Sus scrofa: one gene and its partner. The protein of the gene in region 2 interacts with the protein of the main gene of each other region in a biochemical or structural test. Links are inferred from orthologs where the notes say so. Each region holds a gene or a part of one and is shown on either strand. Other genes may lie near its edges.

Region 1 (3,716 bases), on a different chromosome or scaffold from region 2:
TCGAGGGGTGTTTACATAAGAGAATCAGTTTGGTCCCAGATTTTCTGCATCCTCCCAAGGATTGCCACATTCCCAGGAAGAGCTTTGGATCGAGAACTTCCCTGTATGTGGGATTCTTGGCAGCTGTCTAGGACTACAGCAGGAGGGGAGCTGGGCCCATCCCCCCAACCCCCAAACTGACGGAGAGAAAAGTCCCACCAAATCAGGGACCCTTTTCTGGGAACCCACACCTGCGGGGAACGCCAGGATGAACCCCATTGCTAGGACACCCCCCTTCCTCCCGAGAAGCAATGACTGGGGAGATACTCCATAGACAGCTCAGCACAAAAAAGCTCTGACTACACACAGAAAGCCTCCGGACTGGGAAGTGAGGTGAGGAATGTGGGGCAAATCAAGGGAGAGGATGAGGGTGGGTGTTTGAAGCCCAGCTCTGCCAAAGTGGGTCTGGGATGCATGAAAGGGGAGCACAGGCAGGACACAGGAATGAGCCTCAGTAATGTTTCTGTGACACCTCACAACCCCAAACCCCATGCTCTGGACCTCAATTTCCCCTCCCCTGCCCCTCTAACTGGGGATCAGGGGTCCCGTTTGCTTCACTGAACCCATCTGTCTGAGACCAGCTCATATCTTCCTCTTTTGTGACTGTAAGTCACAAGGCAAAGCACTAAGCTGTGTGTAGTCACAGAGGGAACACAGAACCTAAAAGTGTGAAGGGACAGAGGGGAAAGTGGCAAGGAAAGCCTGGAGCCCGTGGAAGAGGGGGGAGACAGGTGGGAGCAGAGGTCCCCAGGATCATGGCTGAGGCCATCACCTACGCAGACCTGCGGTTTGTGAAGGCTCCCCTGAAGAAGAGCGTCTCCAGCCGCCTAGGACAGGGTAAGGGTGGATGAATGTCGCCTTGATGCTGCATCTCCAACCTCCTTCCTGCCCCTCCTTCCACACCCAGATCCCACCTTTTCTCTCCTCTCCAGACCCAGAGGCTGATGAAGATGGAGAACTCACCTATGAGAATGTTCAAGTGCCCCCAGGCCCAGGGGGGCCCTCGATCTTGGCTCCTTCTGGATTAGGGAACAACACAGGTCTGGAGAGCCCAGGGGATGTGTGTCTGCCTGGGGTGGGGTGGTGGGGGTGGTGCTGTGTCTTGAGCTGGGGCGTCCTCAGCATTCTTGGGAGGACAATACCCTTGGAGAGGAGAGGTGTTCTCAGGAAGAGAGTGAACACCACTTATGGGGGCCAGGGAAGGATGAAGCTCCGAGGGTGTGTGTGTGGGGGATCCCAGTGGGGAGCTAGGGCTTTGACGAAGGACCAGGGCAGCCCTGTGGGGAGCTGCGCTCCAATGAGAAATGGGGGGTCCCGGGAGAGAGAAGGGAGGGGAGGGGAGAAGGGTGAGTGCACTCCTGGGGAGAGGGTTTGGGGCAGGCAAATGAGGGGCCCCTGAGGAAAAGATAAAGGGAGACCCAGGAGGGCGACAGAGGGTCCCCCGGGAAGAACAAGGTAAGACCCAGGAGGAACACGACAGTCCCAGGGGAGAAGAGGAACTCCGGGGACCCCGGGCACCGCTAAGGGTGTCCCGGAGCAGTGGCAGAAGGCACCTTAGGACCGACTGGGATCTCGCCGCGGTGAGGGGGGTCGGGGAGGGAGAAGGGGCTTTTCCCCGGCCTTCCTGTCTTCAACCTGGGACCGCTCCCTTCCGCAGGGGCGCAGACTGAGCAGCCAACGGCCGCCTGGAGCTCCTCGACGTCACCAGCTGCCAGGCGGATTCTCCCGCGTGAGTAACGCACGCTCCTCGCCACGCGCGCGCCGCCCTCCGCCCTCCGCCCGGCGGGGCCGCGCGCGGGACCTCGTGCTGGGCGCCTTTCCCCGCCGCTCCCCCTCCAGGGTCCGCGAGGGTGGTCGCGGGAGTCACGTGCGAGCGCCCGCTCCCATGGGTGGTAGTGCTCCGCTCGGAGGTGTGCAGGTCTGGCCAGGGACTGACCTTACTCTGGTCCGCATTCCCTTCTTCGCCCTCTCCCCGGTCTCCATCTGACATTTAGTTCCAGGTCCTACCAGGTAGTGCGCCTCAGTCAGTCCTTACCAGTAACAATGCCCAGCCCTACTTCTGGAACACCTTCCCTCCGCTACCTGCAGAAACTCTGCGGGACAGAAACCACCATGCGTGCTCCAAGTCCTCTGTGGGATGTTCCTTCCCATGAATCTCCCACACTCCCACCCCCTCAGTCTGTTAACTTTCCTGGGGTTCATGAACCCCCATTCCACTGTCTCCCTGCAGGCTGCGCTCGGTACTTCCTTCTGGGCCTGCTCCTCACCTGCCTGCTGTTAGGGGTGGCCGCCATCTGCCTGGGAATGCGCTGTGAGTATGGCGACTACCCCCCATTTCCCACATGCCCCAGACAACCTGCTCCCCCACAGTTGCCCTTCCTCCCCAGCGCCCCGAGTTACCACTACCACATCCTCAGCCTTTCCTCTGGCTTCCAGCCAGGTCTGCTTCAGAGCACTGTGTCTTTCTAAATTGTCTTTAACTAATCCAGTACCTCCTTAAGCTTTAGGCAGTCAGATCTTATAGTCCAGCCTGTTAGGCAGAAAAATTGCCAAGAAACAGAAAAAGGGCTGACGCTGAAGTCTCAGGGCATCAGAGCATGGCTGAAGATGTCCTTCAAATTTTTCTTTATGGCCAAACAGATCTGCAGGTGTCTCGGCAGCTCCAGCAGATGAGCAGGGTTCTGGAAGCCACTAACAGCACCCTGAGGCAGCAGCTGCGCCTAAAGATAACCCAGCTGGGGCAGAGGGAAGAAGATTTGCAGGGGTCCAGGAAGGAGCTGGCTCAAAGTAAGGAAACACTACAAATGGAACAGAAGATTTGCCAGACTACCAGAGAGGAGTTGCAGGCCTGCCAGTTGGACAGGAAGACGACAGATGAAGCCTTGAAAAACAAGGAGGTACAGAGGATAAACTTGGAGCGGAGGCTGAGAAGTATGCAGGACACACTGAAGCCCTTCTTTACATGCTCCTCACCAGGTATGTGCTCTGAGAGAGAAGAGATGGGAGGGTCTGCTGTGAGCAATGGATCGAAGTGAGGAGACACTTGTGACAGGGGTCTGTCCATCTATTAGGGGACCATTGAGTTGTTCAGGAAAGGGGTAGTGAACCGGAATACTTGCCTTGGCCAACGGGGAGAAGGATCTAGCTGGATAAGGATTTAGGGGGACTCACCTAGCTCAAAGGAGGATCCTGTCAAAGGAGGATCCTGTGGAGGAGAGGAGGGTGGCAGCCAGCAATGCAAAATGACACTGTCCAGAGCAGCAAAGTCAGGGCTCATCTGGCTTGACATCAGCATCAAGGATCTGGGCACACCTGAATATGGTTGTGCAATTGGTTGTTTGCATGTTTTTTCTAAAGACAGGCTCTATAGCTTTCTTTCTTTCTTTTTTTTTTTTTTTTGCTTTTTAGGGCCACACCCATGGCATATGGAGGTTCCCGGGCTAGGGCGGCTAGGGGTCTAATCGAAGCTACAGCTGCCAGCCTATACCAGAGCCACAGCAACGCCAGCCGCATCTGCGACCTACTCCATAGGTCATGGCAATGCCGCATCCTTAACCCACTGAGCGAGGCCAGGCATCGAACCCACAACCTCATGGTTCCTAGTTGGATTTGTTTCCGCTGCACCATGACGGGAACTCCAGGATCTATAGCTTTACTTCATTCTTTCCACACCTGAG
Region 2 (2,869 bases):
GGGCGCACAGCCGTGCCCACTCATGGGCAACTTTCAGGCTACAAGGGAAGCACTGAGTAGTTGCAACAGAAACTGGGACACATGGAACCTCAAAGAGTTCAGTCCTTCGTGGAAAACGCTGCTCAGGCCCCGGCATCCACACGAATAGCCTTAGTATGACTAAGTTTAGTGTCGCTGGGGGTCACTGGGGGGGTGCAGCCAGGAAGGCCGGGCTCGAGGAGGAAGCCCCGCCCCGCCCCGCCCCCCCACCTGGGCGGTGCCCCGCTCACCTGTGGCCTGGCAGAAGAGGTGGAAGGTCCCCAGGGCATGCACGTGCTGGGCCTGGTCGCCGAGGAAGGGCGGCAGCAAGGTGACCTGCCGGTGGCTGTCAGGCCCCGGGCCCAAGGCCGGCCAGGGGCTTCGGGGGGAGGAAGATGAATCGGGGCCCAGACAGGAGAGGGAAGAGGACCCCGGAGGGGGTAAGGGCAGAGAAGATGAGGCTGCGAGACAGAGGACAGAAAAGAGAGAGGGCTCTAAGGCAGAGTCACCAGGAACACACCACATGCATGAGCCTGAGAGCCAAGCACAGGGACGCAGGGCCCCCCACCCAGACTACAGGGAGGGGGCAGGAGAGCCGCAGGGAACCACACGCCCGCGTCAAGGATATAAGATTCTCGTTTATTTGGTTACTTTCCAAATGTATACAATTCAAAGTAGAAAAATAAAAACAAAGTAAATCTTATAAAACACAAGTGTTTACACCAAAACAGTCGAATCCTATCATGCTGGAAGATGACACGGTCCACACAGGCACACACAAATTAAGAGTTTATTGCTCTTTGCCACGGAAAGAAAGGCTCCCCTTGCAGGCGTCTGGAGAGCAGGAAGTGGAGTGTGACACTGATGGTGCTAAGACTGTGCCACCCCACTGGCATCTTAAAAGACAGCGCCGGGCCAGGCAGGTCTGCGGTGGCGGCTTCTGCAGGAGGTGCGCTGGTCACCGGCCTGGCCGTCCAGGGCTGCCCAGCTCTCTTCCAGTTGTGGACAGCTGTTAGGCTAAGCGGAGAGTCTGGGCGGGCAGAGGGCATGAGATGGAAGCAAAAAGAAAACGGAGATGTTCAGACGACCAAGACACCCGCAGAAAACACTGTCTGTCTGGACAGGAGGTTTGGACCAGTGGCCGTGGGCGTCGGATTGTAACATGCTCCTCCTCTCAGTTCCCTGGGCCAGCCCGGTTTCGCCCAGAGCACGCTGGGCCCCTCTTCCTCCCTCAAAGTCCCGCCCCGTGTCCTGGGACCGTCCTCCACAGCCTTCTCTTCAAAAGAGTTAAAACAAGAGTGAAAAGGTACAGAAAGAAAATCTCTCCGAAAATGATGCTTCCCTCAAGGAATAAAATTAAACAAAACCAAACCAAACCAAAAAACACCCCCCCAAAACATGTGTGCCCAAGAAATGGTTTTGTCTAGTCTCTAAAAGCAGAAAAGAACACATCTAGCAAAGTAAGTTTATCCCTGAGAATCTTAAGCAACATAAGCCATGTCTTCCCCTAATGTACAACAAAATCCAGAAGATGGACATCTTCTAAATATTAAAACATCTGCTTTAGTAATTTAAAAAATAAAGGACCTAACACACCCACATAATGAAAGCAAAATATTAAAAAATAATGTCGTGGAAGAAAAGTTCGTGCCAACCTGGACAACAGGTGATAAGTTACCAATCTGATAAACTAAAAGGTCATTTCCAATCTGGAATTAAATTATCTTTCAGTGGCTGCTGTGAGGGGGGGATGCTCAGGACCCCCTCTTCCCAGGCCAGTGGCAGCCCCGCCATCCTTCCGCCTCAGAGTGTGCTCGGCCGAGCCTGAGGACACAGCTCCAAGCGCTCTGACCCACCGGGGAGGCCGGGCGCGATGGGATGCTCGCTGTTTTCCGAGGGACAAAGAGAAACCAAGTCACAAGCGCGACCCAAGAGGAAAGACACAAGACTGAGGTTTGCTGACAACAGCTACGTAGGCGGCACTGGACAGGGTCACAGAACTGGCGACACAAAGACCTCCCTGCGCGCGGCGGGTGCCTCAGTCCCCGTCCGCGTCTGCGTCCGAGTCAGCGAACTTGAGCTCGCACTTGACGTCGAACGGCCGGTCCCTGACTGGGAGCTCGTCGATCCTCTGCGAGTCCTCCCTGTCGGTGGGCAGCCTGCTGGCCATGGTGTCCTGCTCCGTCTCGTAGCCCGTGTCCAGCGCCGGCTTGGGCTGCCCCCCGTTCTGCTGGGAGAAACTGCCCTGCTCCACCAGCGTCTCCTTGACGCTCTGCTCGCAGTCTGAGAAGTCCGCCGTGGGCTTCTTCTTCCCCAGCAGCACGGCCGAGCGGAATTTTAAGCACTGTCCGGGCAGGTAGCCCTTATAGCAGTTGTAGGAGAAGAGGCAGAGGAAGACGACGAAGAAGAAGAGGAAGAGGAACATGAGGAGGCGGTTGTCGCCAGACTTGAGATACATCGTCTTCTCCGAGTGGACCTGGGGGACGGTGTTGATGACAATCTTTGGCTCACAGGACGTGCTGGTGGGCGCCTCGGGGCTGGAAGGGGGGGCGATGGCCCCAGGGGTGGTGACCCTCACGGCTGGGGTCTGCGGAGGGGAGCTTTGGGTGAACCCCACTGATACTCTGGAGGTGATCTTACGACCCTCTGTCTGTGTGGCTGGCGAGGTGGAAGCGGCCAGGGTCCGGGGGACCGTCCTGACCTCCAGCACGTGCTTGGCCACCACCTGCAAGACTGTCTTGTTCTTGACCCTCTCCTCCGACAGGCAGAGGTACACCCCACTGTCTCCTTCCGACAGGTTGAAGATGAGCAGGTTCTTCCTGCCCACCAGGCTGTACTTGGGGCTCTCGGC

Evidence for each region. The genes of interacting proteins can lie anywhere in the genome.
Region 1: the proteins of SEMA4D (region 2) and CD72 form a complex in vitro, tested with the Homo sapiens proteins (2 studies listed by BioGRID and IntAct). The link is inferred for Sus scrofa from reciprocal best matches to the Homo sapiens genes SEMA4D and CD72.

What each region holds. Positions count from the first base shown.
Region 1 is NC_010443.5:236,350,507-236,354,222, reverse strand, and holds the start of CD72 (B-cell differentiation antigen CD72), read left to right. Parts: upstream 1-794; coding exon 795-876; intron 877-971; coding exon 972-1,079; intron 1,080-1,696; coding exon 1,697-1,768; intron 1,769-2,269; coding exon 2,270-2,350; intron 2,351-2,679; coding exon 2,680-3,015; intron 3,016-3,716. UniProt on the Homo sapiens protein: Co-receptor of B cell receptor (BCR) that plays both positive and negative roles on B-cell functions. Recognizes the Sm/ribonucleoprotein (RNP) self-antigen ligand, and coligation of CD72 and BCR inhibits BCR signaling.
Region 2 is NC_010456.5:967,663-970,531, forward strand, and holds the end of SEMA4D (semaphorin-4D), read right to left. Parts: coding exon 2,057-2,869; 3' UTR 637-2,056; downstream 1-636. UniProt on the Homo sapiens protein: Cell surface receptor for PLXNB1 and PLXNB2 that plays an important role in cell-cell signaling. Regulates GABAergic synapse development. Promotes the development of inhibitory synapses in a PLXNB1-dependent manner.